Struthio camelus: one gene and its partner. The protein of the gene in region 1 purifies or fractionates together with the protein of each later gene. This does not show direct contact. Links are inferred from orthologs where the notes say so. Each region holds a gene or a part of one and is shown on either strand. Other genes may lie near its edges.

The links.
Region 2: the proteins of ATP1A1 (region 1) and HADHB fractionate together in Homo sapiens (co-fractionation; 3 studies listed by BioGRID, with this or other methods). This does not show direct contact. The link is inferred for Struthio camelus from reciprocal best matches to the Homo sapiens genes ATP1A1 and HADHB.

The regions. Positions count from the first base shown.
Region 1 is NC_090942.1:93,472,306-93,484,237, forward strand, and holds the start of ATP1A1 (sodium/potassium-transporting ATPase subunit alpha-1), read right to left. Parts: upstream 4,985-11,932; 5' UTR 4,685-4,984; coding exon 4,673-4,684; intron 1-4,672. UniProt on the Homo sapiens protein: This is the catalytic component of the active enzyme, which catalyzes the hydrolysis of ATP coupled with the exchange of sodium and potassium ions across the plasma membrane.
Region 2 is NC_090944.1:1,811,593-1,822,966, forward strand, and holds the start of HADHB (trifunctional enzyme subunit beta, mitochondrial), read left to right. Parts: upstream 1-6,953; 5' UTR 6,954-7,215; intron 7,216-7,220; exon of another isoform or gene 7,221-7,455; intron 7,456-8,673; exon of another isoform or gene 8,674-8,775; intron 8,776-9,358; 5' UTR 9,359-9,366; coding exon 9,367-9,433; intron 9,434-9,812; coding exon 9,813-9,854; intron 9,855-11,371; coding exon 11,372-11,374. Other genes in the region: HADHA (trifunctional enzyme subunit alpha, mitochondrial), read right to left, coding at 1-26, 1,275-1,408, 2,130-2,200, 2,290-2,331, 6,857-6,944. UniProt on the Homo sapiens protein: Mitochondrial trifunctional enzyme catalyzes the last three of the four reactions of the mitochondrial beta-oxidation pathway.

The DNA of each region.
Region 1 (11,932 bases):
CTAAAGTTATTTCACTCAGAATCTGAGCTTCCTGTCCTATCATTCAAATCTGAATTTGACACACACGCCTCATGTCATCTTCTGGCAAGCTGATCTCAATCTATTCAAAGGCCTATGCTGCCTGCGCTGCAAGGAGATGAGGGGTTCATCCCGCCCCCTTGTCACTGTACAGCTTCCCTGCTCTCCCCTCCGTTTCCCACCTAAAAGGGAGAAAACATACAGCACTCCTGACCTACATCATATCAAGAATTAACCACATGGCCTGAACACAAAGGAACATCTGTAGCATCAGAAATGCCCCCCCTCCCCCCGCTGCTTCACTTAGCTAAGGAACTCTGACTCATCAAAACCTCGACAGGAAAAGCCAGAGAACACAACCTTTTTTCACACAAGCTTTTTCCATTGGCCAAAGCAGAACGTTTGTACACAGGGACGCAAGAAGTTTTATGCATTGCCTCCCCTGCTCCCCAAAGCCCTATTGTCTTTAAGATACAACTTATGCTCTTCCGCTCTGTGCTAATTGAGCCATTTATGCCTGATACTTTAGACATGAACCATCATTAGCAAGGAAATGGGAGGGGTGCAAATCAGCAGTCAATTTCAGCAGTACCCTGTTCTAATATCACCTACCCCAACAAGCAACGTCAAGTAAAAGCCAAGATAAGTTAAGTAGTCTCCAGAGGCCCAGTCTGTTCCAACATTTATGTCGTCATCAACCGGGCAGAACAAACAGAAAAATTATTGTCCTGCTGTCTCATGAGACAAACTTCAGTAAATATATTAACCAGATGAGTCATGCCAGTGACTATTCCTATTGGATTGGAGACACTGCTCTGAGACCGTACGTAGTTTTAGCAAGGGACATAAATACCCTCTCAGGAGCTTTCTCACTCCCTTTCACAAGCTCTGCTCAACCTTCTATCTGTAATCAAAAGTAACTGGCTGCATCAGTTGAACAGATCCTCAGCAACTAGGACAGTACCATTTAACTTTTACTAAGCAGCCACAGTTACTGATTGTGAACACTTCTTACTGGGATTCAGCAAGCAGACTGCTGCTTCATAGGCTCAAATTCCTGCAGGCCTTCCTCTCTGCACATGAAAAGGGATCTAAAATTTGCAAGGCTTCTCATCATCAAGGTTGAAACGCAACCATCCACATATTGTAAGCTTTCTCTCAGTAACAGAACCAGTGTCTCCCCTGCTTCTTGTGGAGCTGCTTGAAGACCCAGGAGCAGAACTGGCTTTCCAAACTCTAGTGTTGTGTGACCAAGCAGCCCTTCCTGGTTTTTTTCCCTGGTGCTGTGCCAACTAAGAAGTGTCATCTCCTGCAATTCTGCGTCTGGAATATTGGCATGTCTGTACTGTCAACCTAGACATCTCTAGTAGCTGTCAAACACATGAAGGAACAACAGATTGGACACAGCTCTTCCCTAGAACAACTGGTAACTTCAACTGTCCGTTGATAGCCTGGGTTTCTGAAGTGTACTATTTTGCTGCTTTTGGCATGTCAGGATACCCCCAGGTTGTGGGACTGAAAACCACAGGTACAGAGCACTCGTCAAAGACCCTCCTATTCCATTACACTGCTTTGAGAAAATACATTGGCTAGGCCAGGGGTTTTCTTTGGCAAAAGGCATATCCTGTCGCTTGCCCTTGCTAATAAAAGTGAGGACAAGGGATTTTGGGGGTGGTGGTGGTGAACATATTAAAAAGTCTTAAGATAAGGAATGCTTTGATTTGCATAATTTCCCCTCAGTTGATCCACTAAGGAATAAGGCCTCCTAGCTTCTGACAGCAGAAAAGCTTAACTGGGGTCCAGGCATTAATATTGTTCTCTAGAAACAACTCAAACATACACTAACGATTGTACTCTACACACATGTAGCAAGGCAAATATAATGAAACATGCTGCTGTCTACAGACAGCTTCCAGGCAAACACAGAGCACAAATGAAATCCTGTCTGCTTTTCTCCAGTTCACACAGCCTTTGATAGATCTGCTATTTGGGCTGAAAGACATACCCAGGCAGCTCAGGCCCCTCCCCTCGCCCTATTACCATTTAAAGTAAAACAGATGCTCTAGTCAGCTTCTCTTCAGAGCCATAGATGCAAGCACTTAAGAGAGGTCTGTCTGTGTCACACACACTTACTGTCTCTTCAATGCTAGGCTTCCATGGGAAAGAAGAAAGGTTTCCTTTCTGGGCACCCTAAGTCAGGACAGGTGCTTGCTGTTCAGTTTTGCAATCATATGCAGTCTTTTCCAACTTCTTGCTCTTTCACATCCACCTTTTTCAGGGTATCCCTATTACAGCATGCTTTCTCACTGCCAAATGAGCCAATCTTGCGACTTTCTAGCAGAAAGCCTGAGGCAGCCACACATTGCTGTATTACCCCTCATGTTGGAGGTTCAGTTTCAGGCCAAATTGCTTATTATACACATAAGCTACTTAATTTCTAATGAAAGAAAGATCTAGCTCCCACCGGTCAAGTCAAGACAGCCTAAACTCCCCCATGAAGCCTTCTGCATCCTAGTCAGGAAAGCTTTCTAAGGCTTCTTTGATGAACTAGAGCAGCCAGAGGACTTATCAACCTCCCCCCCCATATTTATCTCTTAGATGATCTCGTACAGTGCCTGTTCCTTCCAAGTTACTGCTATCAGTTAAACCACCCAGTAGCCTGAAATACATTACACTGGGATACTGAGCTTGATGTATGGTGGTGGCGTGTGGTGGTGGGGAACGCTCCTCAGTCCCCTTTCACAAATAACTGCCCTTTCAGCTGCATTCACAGTTCTGCTACTCACGTCAATGTTGCCACTGCTATACAGCACTGCCTGACACTGTGCTGTCCTGATCGATATTTGAACAGCACTTCAGAAATGCAGAACAACTGTAAGCAGCAAGCACCATCAAGCAATCTTGGTTTGGACTGGGGAACAATCGTGGTATCCCTGTGTCTCTAGGAACCTTGCAGTTATGCTGTCTTCATGGAAGCAGAGAAATTATGAGTTTTGCCAGGAAAGAGTCTGGAGCAGGAAGAAAATCTATTCCCCGTCAATTGTGCAACATCTAGGAGCAAGTATTTGGAGGGGAAGAGACCCTAAACCCCTTACAAATAAAAACTAAAAACCCACACAGAGAAACTGCTGTTTCGTCCAAACAAAATCAGAGCAACCCAAGAGGTGTTTCTGCTCCCCACACTGCAAAGTTTGCTACTGTGATCAAAAGCCAGAGTATTGACTTCTGCTTCCAAGAGCCTTCAAATACTTATTTTTAATTCAAAAAATACAATCTGAATTAAGGAGTTCATTTCATTGTGGGTTATAATATAGAAAGCTAAAAGGAAACAAAGTGCCGAAACAACTCCTCACTCAAGTATCTAGAAACTGCTGCACAGCAGCCTGGGAGACTTTATCACACCAATTAACCGGAGGGACACGATAAAGTCTTGAATGATCATCTTCCCCAGTCCATCAAGTCTTATCACATTCTCACTGGTACTAATAAGCAAATGAGCACTAATAAGCAGGGCCTTTTAGCCTGTCACCTCCCCCTGGCGCCTCATGCCTCCAGAAGTCTAAAGTACTCTTATAACGGCCAAAAAGATATTAGAGCAGCCACGCTTTCAAGCCGAGCTCCAAAAGGGCAGCCCACTAACATCACTACCAGAGCACATTTCTGTTCCCATGCTGACAAGAAAACTGACAGGCTAACCTTCAGCTTGGAGCATGCTTTCACCAACAGCACGCGCAAAGAAAAGGAGGGCTTATCACCCCAAAACTGTAGGCGAGAGGTTTCCTACAGGATAAGCTCCGGCAAACTTCTGCCTCATGCCAGGAGGAGGCATCGCTCAGCTTTCAAGAACAGCACCCAACTCCCACCCTCTGCTCGGCCCACGCAGAAAGAAACCACGCAGGGGGTGAACGCAAGGCGAACGCGACAAGCCTGGGCCGATGAGATTTGGGAGACTTATTCCTAAGAGCTCAGCCTTAAAAAACGAAACCTATTTATAGGCGCCTATTTATAATATACCCTAACCGCTAGCTTCAACTTTTAAATAAGTATTTCCTCCACCCTTTCCTCCCCACCCCCGGCTTTCCCCGGGGCAGAAACGCCAAGTGCTGCCCGGCACCGCGAACCACGTCTTAGCCCTCCCCCACGGCCTCCCAGGCGGGCGGGGCCCGCCGTCTGCCGGGGCCTTCGTGCCGCCTCCTCTCCCCCCCCCCCCCCCCCCAATCTCCGTTACTTCCTCTCACGGAGCACGCGGCCCGCCCCTGGGGCGCTCGGCACCACCCTCCAACGGCCGCGGCAGCCGTTGGCGCCCGCTAGAGCGCCGGCCGCTCCCCCGCCGCTGCCGCCACCACCGGCGTCAGCGGCACCAAGCCGGCTCCCCGCCCGCCTCCCAACCCGGCACGGACCCGGCCGGCGGGGCATGGAGGGGGGAGGGAGGGTAGCCGCAGCCAGGCGGCCGCCCGCTCTGCCCCGGCCGAGCCCGCCCGCGGACCCCGGCGGCGGCGGCTCCTTGAACGTCCCACTCCCGGCCGCACAGCCCACGCCCCGGGCACGCGCCGCGCCGCGCCCCGCTCCGCCCCGCCGCGGCTCGCGCCGCGCCCCAGGGGCGCCAGCCCGCCGCCGCTCCGCGCCCCTGCTCCCGGCGGCCGCCCCTGCTCACCCCTTTGCCCATGGTGCCGGGCGGCTGCGTGCGGGGCCCGCGGGTGCTACTAGCGAGGTGCGGGGGCTCAGCGGCGCCACGTGTCCCGGCCGGCGGCAGGTGCGGAACAATAGCGGCAGCGCTCCGCCCGCCCGCCGCTCCGTCGTCCTCCTCCCGCCGCCGCTGCTGCTGCTGCTGCTACCGCCTCGCCTTCCTCTCCCCCCGCCCCCCGTGCCCCCGCCGGCGATAGCTCCTCGCCCCTGCTGCAGCCACCCGCAGCTCCGAGCGCGGCCGGCTTCCCGCCGCATAAAGAGCCCTCTCCGCACCGCCCCGTCGCGTCGCGCCGCGCCCCGCCCCTCGCGGGCGCCCAGCCAGGAGAAAGGAGGAGGAGGAGGAGGAAGGGGGAGCGGGATCGCTGCCAGCGGGCCCGGCCCCTCCCGCCGGCCGCGGCTGCCCCTTGGGGCTCACCTTGGCTGCCCCGGCCGCCGCTCCCGGGGGGCCCCCGGCAGCCGGGGGCGCGGCGGGCAGAGGGGCGCGCAAGAAAGCGAAAGCGGTGCGGCGGGTGGGGAGGAGGGAGGGGGCGGCCGGCGGGGGGCGCTGCGGCCCGGCCGCCGCCGCCCCGCGCGGGGCCTCTCGCGGGGCCGCCGCCGGCGCCATGTCGGGTTGGGTCGGGCTGCGCCGGGCCGGGCCGGGCCGGGCTGGGGAGGGGTGGCTGTGTTCCTGCCAGCTGCCCCGGCTTTCCCGTGAAATCTGAAGAGATTGACGTAATTTATCGCTAATGGCCGTTATTCACCGTCAGTGGCAACTGCGTGGTGACAGGAGCCTCCAAGGTCACGATAGGAACCAGCCGTCCTGTATCCTTTACGTTAAGTAAACATTGAATCGCTCCCCGGCGCTTGAGAGCCGCAGGTTGAAAGAGCCTTGCGTTAGAAGTCCAACCGCTCTCCGCTGATATCCCGACAGGACATCAAAAAGCACCACAGGGAAGATAAGCCAGAGAGTTTCCCCTGAAAAACGCAACCCTAGAGGCATGGGGGCTTGATTTGTCCTGCTTGAGTGGGAGCACGCCGAGGGGAGCCGTGGGCTTCCCCACGCCACCGCTCTTCCCCTCTCTGGTTTCCGTGGGGCCGCGCGGAGGGCTGCGTGCCTCACAGCTGCTTGCCATCGCTGGCCTGCAACCGGGCTGGACCCAGAGGAGCGGGACGTGTTCGGTTCCAGCCCCCGCAGCTTGTCGTGGAGCATGCGAATTTTAGCAAAGCATGTTCTGGTTTGGATATCTGGGGTGACGTTTTTTGCCGCGAGGCTGGCGCCGCGCTGAGGCACCGTGCCCAGAGAGGCTGGTGTGTGCAGGTGTGTCCTTGCAGGTGTCACAGTCTGCCTGGACCAGGTTCTGGGCAACCCCGTCTAACTTTGAAGCCAGCCCTGCTCTGAGGATTCAAGACCTCAGGAAGGCCCTTTCCAACCAAGTCATTCTCTGCTTCTCTGCTATCACATTGGGTGCTTGGTAGGCTTGGGTTACGTGTTGCCTGAAATGCTTCAGACTTGCTAAGCTGAGGTTAAAGCTCATCCTGTATGCCAGTAGATGTGAATAAACTTGACAAAAATAGCTCTAAAGGCTTTAAAGTTCAGTAATTACTACAAATTGTGATCAGGACTCAGCAAAGAGTTACGGGAGAGATTTCTGTGCCCTGTATTGCTCAGGAAGCATGACTAGGTGATCCTCATGGTTCCTTTTATACATAAAAATCTGAGAAAAGTTGATGGATGCCAAAGTTGCTACTCTGTGCCTGTGATCAGTTTGCTTTTTAATTCTGTCTTCATACACAAAGAAAACAAGCATCTGCTCTTTTTTTTTTCATGACAGCTTAACAGAGCCTACAGGACCTGGTATGAGCTGTGAAATACCCAGGGGACCCCACCGCGGAGGTGTTTCAGTAGCCTCTTCCCCATGGGAGGGTTTCCCTGCCGATGGCCCCAAACACACTGGATTAGCTGTTGGGGTGCTGAGAACATTTTTGGAGAGAAGAGCTTACATTCAAGTAGTTAAGCACCATGCTAGTAAGCAGGGGCTAAAACCCCCCTCAGCAGAAGACAACTTCAGCCTTTCAGGTCCTGGGTGAGAGCTTTGTGATCAACCTGTTTGCTAACAGACCCTTGTATGCAAGGGGTAGGGATGCCACTACAACCATCTCCTTGCTGGTTGTGTCTCAAAAGAAGATGGGAGGCTCCACAGCATTTGTGAAGCTTGGTCCTTCACTCTGCATTAGACCTGCTTTGACATTTCACACCTGAGTCCATGCAGACAAATGTACACTATGTTTTGGGATTCCAGCTGGGCTTACGAGTGGCTTTGCCTGCTCGGTACTGAGGCACTTCTGAGACTGAACGCAGTGAACTTCAAAGTAGAAACTTTAGAGTGGTGAGCTCAGATGCAATTTTAGAGGGCAAGGAAGCAGGTTTTTTTCGAGTCCCGTTTTTAGCGTTCTGCCTAAGATCCGTTTTGTGCTGCTGGTGGTCTTTATTGGACCTGGCACTGTTTTGACAGACTTGGAGACAGAAGCTTTCCATTTACCTAGAAAACACATGGCGCCTGGGCAGCAGTCTCCCTCCCAAGCTGCACCATCTTGACCCCAAGGCAGAGCTCTCATTTAGCTCTCATTACTCATCTTTGAGGCTTTCTTTTAAGACTTCCCATAAAGGGCTAGATCTTGCCAGCTGCAGGGAGAGGTATTAGGAACCGGTTGGGAATTTCTGAACTGAAATCACCTACTCATTTCATTTTCACTCCTTACCAAACTTCAGTTTCTTTCAATGTAGCTGTGAGGCATCTTCCGTATGACATTTTAAAAAACCCCTCCAAACAACTTCCAATACATTTTGCCCCTTGAAGTGAAACAGCTTATGGCCTGAACAGTATAGCTGAGTTGGAGCAGTGTAAATTTGATCCATCATTTGCTTTGGGATACTCGACGCGTTGCCATTTCTTCATCATGTGAAACCGTCATGTGCAACGGTGGTGTTGTAAACTTACACCTACGACTTCTTTCAGGAGAAAAGCGTATCCCAGTTCTCTTACTGGCGGTGATTTAAAGTAAGAGCAAATCCCTAGGGGCCAAAGGAAAATTCATTGTGTAAAACCAGGCATAGAGGGTAAAGTACTTGTATTCTCCTCCTGAAACAGGTGTAAGAGGGATTAGCTTAAGAAAAAATAGGAAAGCTCTGGTTTCAGTATCTACAAGCAATTACAAACTCTTTTTGATAACGCTGGCAGGGTGGCTGAGAGAAGTAGGGATAACACTCAGGGAACTTCACTCCTGCCACTGGATTAAATCCAGCCGGGTTTTAACACCTGAACATTCTTGCTTGTGTGTCCTGCTCAATTCAGGCTGGGAGTAATTGTGAATCTTTTTTGAAGATTTGATGCAATATGCTTTTTTTCCTTCTGACTGTTCGTTGTTTTTGGCGCAGTTGTGGGCTGCTCAAATTCCAGGGGTAGGTAGTGCTAGATGCAATGAATGGAGATAGGCATTATGAAAACAGTGCAAGGCATTATGTGAATGCCTACTGCTGTTATTAATAGCATGTACATCATACAGTCCTTCTGTAGCATTTTTTACTTTGGGAACCTGAGAGTGTTTTACACCAGGGAGTTTTATTATGCCCATATTAAGGATGGGAAAGCAGAGTCACAGTGAGAAGGTGGTAGGCGTGTAGAATAGCTTCAGCAGATTCTAGGTAAAGAGTCCAAGGATCAGAAAGCCCTTTGCTCTTGCTGCTGGATATAGCAGCTTCCACTCAGGCTTATTCCTGCTTTCGCTAACAAGCGGCATGTAGCTGAACACAGAAAAGCAAATCTTCTTTGCCCCTTTGCAGCTGCCACAGCCTAGGGCTGCATTTGCTGGGAAAGCTAGGACGTTAGATCCCCGTAATGGATTCTACCTAGAATAGGAAAGAATCCCATCTCCCGCCTAGTATTGCTTTCTATGGCATCCCCTGTCTCCACCAGCATTTTGCATGTATTGTAGCGAGCGCCACACTTTGGCCTTCACCTTGAAAAGCTTCTTCTTTAGTGGCAATTAGGTTTGTGGACATTGGAGCATTTTCCCTCTGGACAATGCAGTGCCATTCACTTCAGAGGTGACATGCTCCTGCAGCTCCTACTTCCTCAGCAAAACAAGGGAATGCAGCTGGACCCAAATAAGCTGTTTTTCCTCAGCCACTTGTCCCTTATCTCTAGAGTCTCTAGAGGATGAAGTTACCTACAGCGCACTAAAGCAGGCAACAAAAGCAGCCGCCGTGCGGATAAGGTGAGATGAGTTCCACCATGAGGCCTCTATATAAATGAGGTTTAAAAAGGCATCCAAAAGGGATTCAGGCTTTTTAAAGGGTAATTCACTTACCAGGGGACACAGAGAACACAAGGTGATTGTATGTAACTGTATTTCTATCGACCTTCCAGCTGTAATTACAGGTCTCACACTCCCTGCTGGCTTGTCTCCTGGCTTTAATGAGATCACCTTAGGAGATAAGGCTAGGATACCATTAAAATGACCGGGGAGAGCAATATCTAACTATGGGGTGAACAAAGATCAAGATCCACTACATCTAGTCAGGCTTGGCTGAGTTTCTTCATGTACTTTTTCCCTCCCTCTGGCTGATGGATACAAACATTTTGCGTTGTTGACAATATTTCACATTTTTCTGAAGCCTTTCAAGTAAATCCTTCAAATACTGTTGCAAAAACATTACAATGGATCCTTAATGGCCCTTTGAAAATTAAGTCTCTGTCCTTTGCCATTGCACATAAATGGTATAACCTTCATTCAAAGTCACGGCATTGTGGGTTGCAGAGGCGAAGAGCAAAAATATCAAGCATTCCAGTCATTTTGAGTGCTTTAGTGTTGTGCTTATACAAAATTCCTAGGCACTTGCTGCTTCTGTAGGTGGGAACTTCAATTGCTCAGCCTTTCTCAATAGTAAGTTCAAAGTGTCTCAGCCTGAGAACTTCAAAACTGTTTTTTTCTTGTTTTACTGAAGAGGAATCAGAGGTTTACTACAGTCATGCAGCAAAGTAGATCAAAGGATGAAATTGAGAAGAGCTTGGTCCCTGCTCTAACTGCTAGACTAAGGGTTTAAAACTGCTGGGTCACAAATTCCCGAAGACTACTTGTAGGGGGGACCCTGTGAAAACAAGGAAAGCGAAGCCATTGACAAAAGATTAAAATATGCTATTCAAGGATTTGCATTTCTTCGGAAAAAAAAAATGTTTAGAAATCCACAAATCAAAATAATAAAGGCTTAAAACTATTACTTTAGACAAAGCTGTAACAGGTATTTATGATGTGACACTTTTTATATTTTAAGCCCATAATATATCATTCCATTTTTAGTTGCAGACACTGTTTTTAATTCCTCTTTGCCAGTTAGTTATCTAGAAGATAAAGCAGCTTTGAAATCCCCAGACTCCCTGGAACCACAGTTTATATCTCTCCAGGGTTTTGTGCGCTTCATCATTCCAAAACAGATAAACCAAGTACCATGTAGCTTACTTCTTCTCTATGAATCTTTTGAGAATTAGTGGCCCGATGGGAATGTTTACAAGAGCATAGGATTAAGGCAAAAATGTCTTCATGTACCCTTTTTCCCCCCGCCTTTTGCACCTATCTATATTCCATGGTTGGGAGGTGAATGCATCTAAGTGCATATACAAGCTGGTTAAGAATGTAGGGTTTTTTATAAAACATACTTCCAGTTGTTTTTTGACTAGCTGAGATGGCAAGTGGGTGTATTAGAGATAAGTAGAAGGGAGATGAAATTACCTACTTCTTGCTCTAGGCTGAATGGGGAGAGAGAAAAACGTGTATATTGCTTTTATGAGAAAAAGGTAAGCTATGTTTGGCTCCTACTATGCTACAGATACGTTTTCAAGCATATACAAAATATTGCTAAAAACTTACCTTAACAAAATTGCGTTAGAAAAATATGATTCCTTCAAAGAGGAACACCCCAAAATGAGGATGTGCCAAAGTCCAGCCTCCGCTCTTTCCATCTGTCTGTGTGCACTATGATGCCGTCTTCGGTTATAGTGCACTGCTTCGTTCCGCATGCAGGCGAAACGCTGCTTGATGAATGAGAGGGAGCAAGCTTTCATATTCAGAGGTTTATCTTTATTGTTCTACTCCTTGCCTTATTCATTTTACCTAGTCCGTTTTGTCCCCCAAGGGCAGAAAGCTATTTCCTGTTCATACCTACCTCTGCACTTTATGTTCCCAGTTTACATGAATTGTAAGTCAAATCTGACCAAAATGCAGTGCATGGTCTCAAGTTCTGTGAAATCCTGGACCATTGGCTGAACATGACAGAGCCAGTGCAATCCCTAAGACTGCAGGAATGATTGAATGGAGTCACGTAAAGCGTGAACACCGGCCAGATTCTCTGCTGGTGGGAAGGGAGAGATGACACTAATTCAAAGGCAGCTCACTCATTACTACCTCAGAAATTGTAGTTCTACATTTCAGGATTCAGACAGTTTGTAACAGTCTTCGCTTTGGCACTTCCATGCCGTCTTAATGCTTCATTTTACAAGATTAATGTGTTCTGAGTTTGAGAGCACTTTTAACAGAGCTGTCTAAGCTGTTAACAGAAAGGAAAGCAGGCTCATAGACATCCTCGCTGATTGTAACCTGTCTGAGGCTGCACCTTAGATACGTTTAGACACTGAGGTCAGTACAGAGATCAACGCCTTGCCTGTTGACTGGGTGCAAAGTAAGGATGACAGTGAGATCTTGAGATTTGTCCAGTGGTCCCCAAATGGAACACAGTGCAGGCATCGATCATACCCTATAATATCTGATCTGGCCTACAGGAGGTCACGCCTCTTTTCCCCACACCTTGTTATAAACGCAGCCAATAGGGATACTAAAGCTGAGTGTTCCTGGTAGTAAATGAGAGGGTGCGGCTGGAACTTGTTGATCTGAAGTAGCCCAAATGCGCTGAGTTTCTAGGCAAGAGATACCCAAGCTGTCTGGCAGGGCATTTGGGGAGGCCTGAGAATATTCTTCCCAGAATGACGAGGATGGAATGGATTTTCTAGAGGTGGCTGGTTCTGTTCCCGTAGAAATGATTACTTTAATACAATAAAACTCCAACAATATGGTTTGGGCACTTACAGCCTTAAATAGCCATGTCTTTAATTTTCATTTAAGTCTGCATCCATCAACAGAACATTTGATATTGTTCGCTAGACAACTGAGTTCTGCACAAGATGTTCAGTCTGGCCCT
Region 2 (11,374 bases), on another chromosome or scaffold:
GAGAAGTCTTGCAGGCGCCAATCATGCTGCAGTGAGGCAGAAAGGCTGATCAGAATTGGAAAAGCGCTGAGAAAACAGCAGTAAAATGGAGAGTGCTTCAAGGATTTTATTCCCCTCTTCCCACAAAGCTCCAATGACTGACAGACAGGCAAGAGCTATTTAGTCCCACAGATTTAGATTAACAGAGAACACAGGAAGACTACTCAAATCAGTGGGTTAAGTCACTGCATACTGACACGGGACTGTGCCTGCAGGCAGTGAATGAGTCTCCTTGTGCCAGAGCTCTGAAAGCCTTTTGGGGAGAGAAGGAAGGGTCACAGGAAGCCTCAAAGCACTTGCCAGGAAGGGTGGAAGGGAGAGCCCAGGATCACATTTGAGAGAAGCAGATGGCCAGTGCTCTGACATTGCACTCCGCCAATTAGAGACTTTCCGAGCCAATTATTCTCACAGAGGCTAGCAGCGTTTGCCAGGCAGGCACTAATCAGCAGGCTTGCTGCACTGAGACCAGCCGAGACCTCTTAAACACAGCCTGTCCTTTTGTCCTGCTTACCAGCTAAAGCTACTGCCTCCTTCCCACCACAGGATAGATCAAGTCTCTGCTCCTGAATAAGGCTGGACAAAAAGGTAACAAGCTCTGGAAGGGCTGATATGCATTTACCTTCTCTGCTCAAAGCTTCCGGATTTTAATGTCTTTAAACAACTGTTCTGTCGTGCCCAATGCAGGACTGGCAATTGACGGCACTCCAGGCCCAGGTGAGAGCACTCATACAGGGCGTACTCGCACCCGACAAGAGTTACCCAGCCTGGGAAGCTGCTCAGATGCTCCATATGGCAGAGAGCCAAGACTGCCCAATCAAGGAGCTGTGCTGGCAGACTGCCAGACACTCAAGATCCAGCTCAAATGAAGTTCTGCATGTAAATTATCTGCTCTCGTTGTGCCCCAGACCAAAGCACAAGGCTTACCCCTGAGCCAGAAAGGGAATTTTCCTTGGCTGCACCCTGGCACGCAGGAAGGAGCGACCCAGTGCTAGAAGCAAATGGGGTTTAATGACTAGCCAGGTTCCTCTTTATCAAGGCCATAACTTCATTTCAGCAAGTCCCTGTCAAGTTATACATCCTGCGCACATGGATTTCATATTCATTCTCTACCTCACCCTTGGGGAGAGGTCAGTGACAAACTGCTCAGTCTTCACAGCACACCAGACCTTTTGCCCGAGATGCTGGACTTTAGAGAAAGCTCCATCAGCATAGTTTCTACTGCCACCCAAACTTACTCAAGATCTGCTCCAGCAATGAAAGAGCCTGGCTTTGAAGAGATGAGGACGGCACTTTTGACAGCTTCATTGGCCCAGACTTCATTCAATACATCACTCATCTCGGAGCTCAATTGTTTGGACAGAGTGTTCACCTGAAGGTAGCCAATACACATTGTAAATAGAGAGCCCACGAGACAGTGGAGTTAAACCTCTGATTAAGTGCTGGACTCAATCATCATATCATCGGAAAACTCTCACAGAAGAAAGACTGAGGAAAAAGCCAAAGCCAATGGTAAGTCTAAATGGATTTTCCAATCTGTCTGAAGGCAGTGGAAGCAGTAGCTCTATAGCCTTTTAAAATTTGCATTCTGGCACAATTCTAATGTTTCTGGGCACACAAATTGAGCCCAGCTTGGCTATAAAGTTCATTTCACCCTGTATCACAACACAGCCAGAAAGAAAACCCCAAGATGAAACCTTGCAGCAGGTTATCAAGTAATCTGCTCTTAAGAAGTTTCTTCTTCAGCCTCACCAATACATGTTTTAAGAGCTTCTAAGCTGTTTTGTTCAACAGAATGGACCCTCTCCTCAGCCACTTTGAATCGAGAACTTAATGTTCAGTGACACCTTGTGCTGGTGAGAGAGACAAGTCAATTTGGTACAAATAAAATATTTCCAGGGGGCACTTCCCAGTATGTTCTTTTATTATATGCCCCGATTCTCATTCTCAAATTTCCACTTTCAAATCTGACTGGCAGCAGGTTAGGAAAGTTCTTAGTCTTCAGTTACCAATTTTCAATGCCTTCTCTGTACTACCTGTATTCCTGCTCTTTCCTCTGATATGCCTATTAATCACAGTCAACAAAACCGCACCTTTGAATCTGGTGTGCTGAAACGTACAACAGCGACATCTCCTTTGATATCACAGCTAACGTGGGTTCTAGCTGGAAACAAACGGAAACACTTTATTAGCTTATGTTTAGTGGATTTTAGGAAAGAAAAATCAACTCACATACAAAAGCTTTACGCTTACCCTGAAGAACAGTGGAGGTGGAGATACCACGGCAAGCATAACCTAAGGAAGAGATGTTGCAGATGTTACAGGCATTCTCGGTAAGCTTTTAAGGTGATCTCAGCTCAGATCTTAATATACTCTCCCATCTTCCCTTATCTGCCGAGGCCGGTGTTTCAGAAAATCCTGAATACCGGCCAGTTCCTTCTGCTATGGCTCGACCTGTGCCACCACCAGAATTCAGTGGACTCCATGCTACTGAAGTGACATTGGCAGGACAGATCCCACACGGGACTTTCCAATAACAGGAATGCCAAACTGAGGGCAAAAATCAAAACCTTTTTACTAAAGAGCTGACAACAGATTAAGCAGGGGACCTACGGAGGGGTTTTGACATTAGGCGTGCACGGTTCAACACTTCTTCACATGCTAAATTAGAGAGACCTTACCACCCTTTGGACACTTTCAAGCCTGCGTATAAAGTTCTCCCCAGACTAAATAGAAATGTCCTAGAATATCTCTGCAAAAATGCACTACTATGCCTGTAAATGTTGGCATTCCAAGTGTTATTGCACAGATCACAGGAAACATAGCTGTTAAGCCACAAAGAAACAGCACACAATGTTTATTCTCTCCTCCACAATCTATCAAGGCAATGGTTGATCCATCTCTACAAATTACATACGCAAGTACCTAGACAAACTTGTCTTGTTTTGAAACTTGCTCTGAAAAAACAGCACGAGGGATGACCAAAATCTGTATAACAGTGAAATGCTACTTTACTCGCACAAATATCCCAGATTCCCCTTTCCTGCCAAGAATTTGTATTCTGCCTGATGATCTCTCACTACGCAAGCGAGTCTCAGTTCTGTTCAAACGACCTTGATCTTGACTGAGAGGATCACCCAACGCAGATCTAGGCTGAATCTCTGCCAAAGCTGTTTGAATTCTCAAAGTCTAAAAGTGTTACTTCTTAAGCAACGTACTGTACACCTACCAATTGGAACACAGCCATTTACTACGCAGCACTGGTAAAACGCTCGGGGCTGAAACAATCCCTGTCCCAGCAGCAAGAAGGCAGAAAACCCAGGAGAACGAAAACAACCTTAAAACCTTGGCCTGCACCTCGCAAACAGACACGCTTCCCTCCCCACAGCCCCGGGCCACGGGCTCGGGGCTAGAGCTCCTTTGCACTTTGACCCTCTTTCCACTTTGTCACAGGTGCTGGCACTGGGGAATGACCTTTGCGCTCCATTCCCCAAGCCCAGGACACCTGGCAGGATGCCACGGGCTGGGGATGGAAACTGTGTGTCAGTCCGTCTCAACAGACTTCTCTTTGATGGGAGCAGGGGGTCACGTACTTGCGATACCATTTTATAAACAAAGCGTGAACTGGTTTCCACTCCAAAGCGGCTTTAAAATATTTATGGGCCTGAACAAGGCCCAGACTGCAATTACTCAGGTCAACATTAATTTCCTTAGACTTTCTGTGCACTAAAGTCGGGTACTCCTGGAACGAAGCACCAGCTCTCATTTTCCACAAAACAGAGCATTGTCTGCCAACAGTTTCTCCACTGACGTACGCACCTCAGCAGAATCCGATGCACTTCATTGGGTTAAAATACCACAATTAGCAAGCCACCCACAGAATCACAGAATGGTGGAGGCTGGAAGGGACCTTCAGAGATCATCCAGTCCAACCCCCTGCTCAAGCAGGGTCACCTAGAGCAGGCTGCCCATCCAACTCCACTACATTAGCCAGGTGAGCACTGAACAATCCTACTGAACGTCTTCACTTTAATCCCTGTATTACTCCATAGTGACAGGCATGGCAGGAACGAGAATCAGATCAAACAAACATCCCAGCTGCAGATCAAGTGATAATGCTTTCCTCCCACACCCTCAGTCAGGCACCTCCTAAAGGTGGGGTGGGGGAAGGAAAATTTTCCAAGAAAATTTTAAACCTTGAATTCCACTTTACCTTTCAGTTTTAAAACAACAGATACAGAGCAGGAAAAAAAAATCATCAAGGGCAAGACAGAACAAACCTCACCGCGTTTCAATATAAGCTCTTTTGGGAAACGTACTGCTGTTAGAGTAACAGTTGCTTATTATTTGAGTGAGGTTTTTTTTTTTTAATTATAACTTTCTGTGTGTTTTTCTTGACAATATTTTATTTTAGGGTCCAGTATACTCTTGGAAAACAATTTCTACGTCTAAAATTAAAAGCACATTTATGCAGTCACAGTACAACTGCTTTAGGTTTTGATTTCATTCAGAAGGAGCTGTGATAACTTGCCAAGATTGAAGCCAGAAAAAACCTCTTCCAAATTCTGTAGGAATAACAGCAGGCCAGATGTACATTTCTGCCATTTTATTAATGTTCATTCTAGAACTAAAAGCCCTGAATATATATTCAATTTTCACTATTTCACATTCTTTGCTCTTTGGACAAATGAAAGACTGTCTGTACAAAGGAACACCAAACACTTCAGAAAATTGTTCTCAGGATTTAGCAGAGAGCTTCAGAAGCAAGCAGGGAATGGAAAAGCCCCCTTTCAAACAATCTGGCTGGGACCTGTTTCGTCCCACTTTCTCTTTCCTCTGTCACTTCCTTGGCTGCTTCCTTGTCCTGCACTTCCCCTTCCTGCCTTTCCATTCCCCCCGAAGCAGCACATCACTTGAAGGGGGAACATCGTCCATAGATGGTTCACGAGGAAAGGCTTCTTGTAGTCCTGGACTGGGCAAGCGCCAGCAGAACAGAAGAGCTGAAGCTCACGAAGACGGCTGTACCTGCGAGCTGATCGCACTGAGCACTGAACTGCGAGCCGCAAGACGGGAAACTTCCAACAAACTGAGCTATTTACTACCACCTCTGGGAACCTGTCAGCATATGGTATGATATATACATAATATACATATACATACGGAAGAGCAGGTAAGGCTAGCTCTTAAGCTTGCACGGCCTTCTGCCTACTTACTGCCTTTTGCAGTTCTTTTTTGGGCTGCCCGTGATAGATTCGCATCCGTTTTGGCAAATACGTTGTTACGGAAGAACAACACGTAGAAAGACTGCTATTAATTATGTCGCATGACGTGACATTAGCCACAGATAGATAGACAGATAGTCCTGACAGCGTTCCCGGAACAAAGTATTTGTAATGAAGAATATTGCCAGTTATAATGAGAAGCCCACAAGAGGCTGTTTAAGCAATCTCTGGAATTACTACCGATCTGCTCGTTATCAGTTGCAGTGCTCTGCTCTTCTAGCGATGAAGTCACATATAAACTTGCTCCAATCCTGCATGTAAAACAGGCATTAGGCTTAAATGAAACACTGCCTGACTTCAGCTCTACATTGACACCAGACCCTAAGGCCCTTCAAAGCAGAGAAATAAGAGCTTGTTTCTAATAAGTCTTAACCTTAGGCCCTCCCCAGGGGCACCTTGCAACTCCTTTCTTTGGTACCTCCGGGACAAAGCACCAAGACTCAGCCGCCAGCAGCCATCGCGCCCAAGCAGGAGGGGGCTCGGGCTCAGTCAGCAGATGGCAACGGAGCAGCGGTCGATGACCGGGACGCTTCTAAACGTGACCTAGACGCGGCCCAAAGACAGCTGGCGAGGCCCCTGCAGACACAGGCACGCATGGGGACGGTGCGTTCCCTCCGCCACGCAGGGACACGGGGGCCCCCTCCCCTCAGGGCCACGCGCACAGACCCCCAAGGACAGAGCTGTCCCCCGGGGGGGCACGCACGCACGGGCGGGGGCAGAACACCCCTTGCCGTGGGCACGCGTGGGAAACCGCTCCTGGGGGACAGCCGCAGGACACCCGCGCGCAAGGGCATGGGGACGCCCCCCCCCCCACCCCGCCACGCACGGATACTGGGGACACGCGCAGCGTGCCAGGACGCGAGCGCACACCCCCTCCCCGTAGGGTCAGCTCGCAGGGCTGCAGGGACCCTCTAGCCTAAAACGTGCCCGCGGGCGAGGACATGGGGACGCCGCCCCAGGGAGGCGCGTGGGAGCACGTCCCGCGTGGGGACACCAACACGTGCAGGCACACCGCTGTCCCCCAGGACGCCCGCGCACCTGGGGGATGGCGGGGGGACACCTGGACGCCCTCCCCCCCGGGCAGGTACCGGCTGTTGGGACACCAGCCGCCCCAGGGACACAGGCATACGGGGGCTGTCCCCTCCCTAGAGCCCCCCAGAAACACGAACACCCGTGGATGCCTCCTAAGAAGACCCCCCCCTTCCTCAGCGACACCTCCCAGTGACACCTAATCCCTCACAGTGACACATACATACATGAGCTCAGTAACCCCTGTCCCTCACCCCCCCCACCCCGGGGACACGCACGCGCGTGGGCACCCCCCCGGGGACACACACACGCGAGGCCCCACTTCCCGGTGCCCCCCCCCGTGCGTGGCCCCACCGCCAGGTGCTTTCCGTGCCCCCACAGCGCCCCTCAGTGACACGCACACGCGTGGGCACCGCCCCGGGAGGCCGCGCCTCCTCCTCCTCCCAACCGCCCGCTCGCTCGCTCCCGGCCCGGCGGCGGGGCCCCACGCTGCCGTCGCCGCAGCTCACCCGGGGGCCGCTGGCGGCGGGGCGGGCAGTGCTTGGCGGCGGCCATGAAGCGCCCCAGGCTGCCGATAGCGCGCACCGCGGCCGCCATCTTTGCTGCGCGCGAGGTCGAGTGAGGGAGAAGCGTCGCGGGCGCCGCCGGGGGCCTTCGGCGCTCCCTGTCCCTCCCTCCCTCCCGGCCCCGCCCCGCCCGCGCCTGCCCGCGCCGCCAACCGCTCCCCCTCCGCCGCCAACCGCTCCCGCCCTCCTCGCTCCACTCTTCTCCCCGCGGCGCCTCGACCGTCCCTCACCTCCTCCGAACGGGAGCGGGCGGGCGGAGCGGCGGGAAGGCGGACAGCCGGGCTGTCAGGGCTGCCGTGTCGGTCAGGCGCGCGTCGGGGCAGCCCGCGCGGGGCGGGGGGAGCGGGGTCCTTCCAGAGTGGCAGCGCGGTGGCGGCGGTGGTGGCAGGAGGGCGCAGGCGGCGGCGGCGGGGCCGGGTCGGGCCGGAGGTGCGCGGGCGACGGCGGCGACGGACCTCATGGGGCGGGGGGGGGACGCGGGACGGAAGTGGGGTTTGCGGGTGTGAGGCGTCCAGAGGTGTGTGAGAGACAGCGGCGTGTAGGTCGGTGTGGGGGTGTGTGTGGGGGGGGGAGTGTGTGTGGGGAGGTGTGTGTGTACGGGAGTGTGTGGGGGGGGTGTAGGGATGTGGGGTGTGTGGGGAGGGGAGTGTGTGGGGGGGGTGGGGGGGAGTGTGTGTAGGGGGGTGTGGGGGGGTGTAGGGATGTGGGGTGTGTGTGGAGGGGAGTGTGTGGGGGGGTGTGGGGAGGTGTGTGCGGAGGGGGGTGTGGGGGGGTGTAGGGATGTGGGGTGTGTGTGGAGGAGAGTGTGTGGGGGGTGTGTGTGGGGTGTGTGGGGGGTGTGGGGAGGTGTGTGTGTAGGGGGGTGTGGGGGGTGTAGGGATGTGGGGAGTGTGTGGAGGGGAGTGTGTGGGGGGGTGTGGGGAGGTGTGTGCGGAGGGGGGTGTGGGGGGGTGTAGGGATGTGGGGTGTGTGTGGAGGGGAGTGTGTGGGGGGGGTGTGGGGAGGTGTGTGCGGAGGGGGGTGTGGGGGGGTGTAGGGATGTGGGGTGTGTGTGGAGGGGAGTGTGTGGGGGGGGTGTGGGGAGGTGTGTGCGGAGGGGGGTGTGGGGGGGTGTAGGGATGTGGGGTGTGTGTGGAGGGGAGTGTGTGGGGGGGGTGTGGGGAGGTGTGTGCGGAGGGGGGTGTGGGGGGGTGTAGGGATGTGGGGTGTGTGTGGAGGAGAGTGTGTGGGGGGTGTGTGTGGGGTGTGTGGGGGGGAGTGTGTGGGGGGGGTGTGGGGAGGTGTGTGTGTAGGGGGGTGTAGGGATGAGGGGAGTGTGTGTGGGGGGGTGTGGGGGGGAGTGTGTGGGGGGTGTGTGGGGGGTGTAGGGGGTCTGTGTGGAGGGGAGTGTGTGTGGGGGGTGTGGGGATGTGGGGGGGAGTGTGGGGGGTGTGGGGATGTGGGGGGGTGTGTAGGGGTGTGGGGGGTGTAGGTGTGGGGGGAGTGTGTGTGGGATATGGGGGGTGCGTGTAGGGGTGGGTGTGTAGGGGGGTGTGGGGGTGTGTGGGGTGTGTGCGTAGGGGGTGTGGGGATGCGTGTAGGGGTGTGGGCAGGTATGGGGAGTATGAGGGTGTGTGTGGGGGGGTGTGAGGGGGTGTGTGTGGGTGTGTGGACATGCATGTGCGCCCGTGGTGTTTGTGAAGGGGTGTTTGTCACGCGCCAGGGCTGTGGGGTGTGAGTCGTGGGTGTGTAGTGCGGGGGGGGGGGGGCGGTGTTAAGCGTTAAAAGCGTGGCAGGATGAGGCGCGTCTTATCCGGAGGCAGCTGAAGAGCAGGAGCAGCAGGGGCCGGTTTGGCCCTCCGCAGGAAGAAGCGCGGCTGGGGGTTTGTCCGCAGGGAAGCCTTGCGGTCCCGCTGCGGAACGAGCACGGAGAAAGCCGCTGGGGGAAGCTTTTGGGGTGGCGGTGGCCAGCTCGTTCTGCTTCCCGTGGGGATACGCCACGAAAGTCACTGAGCTCAGAGTCAGCAGTTGAAATTCAGGGCAGCGGCACGAGGTTGCGCCAAGGAGCGCGCGTTAGGAGAGTCATGCTGGCGGGGAGATTGGCTGGGCTCTGGGACAATTTTCCAGCGGGGAAGTGGTGGAACGGGTATTGCGAGGGGAATCTAAAACTGTGCTGGCTGCTGCGCTGCTGATAGTGATAGTACAGTGCTGGGTCATCAGCGAGATGACTGCTTATTTACAGCAATGTTTGCAAGCCGCAGTCATAAGTCAGACTTCTCACGTGCTAGATGCTGTTCAGAAAGTACAACAGAATGTAATTCCCTGTGCTGCTGCACTTGACTGCCCTTGATGTGTCTTCTCTTCCTCTGCTTTTTTGGCTCTGTGTGAATCAAGCAGTATGCTTACCTTGAAATTGTTCTGAATAAGCCAGATTGGACTAATAGCAGTCTTTCTTCACCTCTCTAGACCTCAAGATGACTTCCATGCTGACCCATATCATCAGAAACCTCCCTGCTTCCTCAGCATGGGCTGCCAGGGTCTGTAAGTATCTTTATGTTCATTAGAGACTTGAACTGGTAGGTCATAAAGTTCTCTTTGTTTTAAGCATTACGTTTGGCAGGGACACTTTTGTCTGAATCTCTGTTACGTTATGGTTTTTTTTTTTTTTTAAACAACTAATTCTGTTGTTGACGTATTTGTTGTTTCCCAGATCTCCCAATATGGGAGGAATCTCATGTTAACTGGTAATATGTACTATGTTGTTTTTATGAACACAGTAACTTAAAAAAAAAACCTTGCAGATATTCAGGTGCACTTGTATTGGAACTTCTTTTTTTTTAACGTTTCTTACAAAAATAAATAGAAATGTTTTTATAATTATAATTTGATAAATGCTCCTTTTGTGGTTCTTGTTTTTCAGCTGCAAGATCACTCAGCTGCTCTTCACAGTTACAGGCAGCAGGTAAAGTGAAAGCTTCAGTGGGTTTCTATTAGAGACTATTTTTGAAGCTGCCTCCCTTTTCCAGATACTCATTCTACATAGATCTCAGAAACACAAGGCAGACTTCGTTAATTCTAGAGGGCCCTTCTAAAGTTGCAAAAAAGTAAAGCTACAGGCAAAACAGTGTTTCCAATAAAGAGTCCTCTAAACATCTGAATCTCCCTCACCCCCAACAACTGTGCCTGGTCTGAAGCTCGTGCCACATTGTCACCTGATAGATTGCTATTTCTAGGATCCTAGACAGAGAGGCTAAGCTAGGAGGTTATAAGCTGTCTGGTTATAACCAAGTCTCTTGCCCGGGAGGGGTGGAGGTTGCCCCTGACTAAGAGAGGCTTGTGGAATTAGCTCAAAGGTCCAGTAAGACCTATGAGAGGCTCAGGTCTCAGTAGAGCGGCTTAGTGTGCACAATTACATTGATTGTTAGATGTGTGTGTTTTTAAGCCGTTTGGGTAGTGTGGGGTTCTGGGATGTGTTCTGGGGTCACTCAGGTGACTGTGATGCTTTGAGCTGCCTGGATTGCAAAAAGACAGCAGCCCCCGCTTGTCTCCTTAGCTTCATCTGGAGAACCCTCTTATATGACTCAAGTTTAGTGCTGGAGTTTCATACTTGTGCTTTCACTTGCTTGAGCACAGTATTTAGCTGGATTTAATCTGCTTTTACATGCCTTTTCCTTTTCTGGCTTGTAAATGCAGCTGCCTCATGCTGCTGTGTCTGCTGGTTAAGAATTGTAAACCTGACTGCATTAGGAAATTCTCATTGAGCTCCTTGTTAATCATCTCTCTAGAACAGCACTGACAGTGGTGTATTAAATGATGCTGTATCATGGCGTTGCTTTGTCTCAAACCTGAGATACTCCCAGGCATTATGAGGGAGTAGCAAGCTACCCACAACAGCTTTGTGCCCTCTTTTTGCTAGTACTTTCCTATGGAAGTGAAAGTTAGTTGACTTCTTGCACTGTGTTTTTATTTACTCTGAATTATCTCACCTTTGCTGTGCAATAGGAGCACATAAGTGAGCAATTGCTATGGAAGGTGGATTGTTTCCAGTCCTTGTTGCTTCCCGAGTGAAAGACTTTGAGGTCTTACCCTGGTTGCTCGTCTTTGAATTTGGTCCGCCTCATTTATATCCTAAGTCATTCAGCATTCTTGGAGGTGTCTTTTCCTGCGATATTTTTGTCAGTAGTAATGGAGTTTGAGGATTATGTTCCTTTATTCTGAGCTGTGCCATTGCCTCGATATAGCTATGGATGAATCTCTCTGCTGATGAGGGAAGCTGAAATTCTGTGTTGTTAAACCATTTTTCACAAACGGCATGCTCAACCAGACAGGGACAAGATTTTGCCTCGCATCTCCTACCTACTCTACTTTTGTCTTATGCACCAAAGGGGACTCTTTCCTGAGTTTTCTAGTAGCTCTAACAGGATCTGGCTTTAAGCTTGCTCATATTCTTGGCAATAATTACTTAAACTTCTCTCTAAGCAG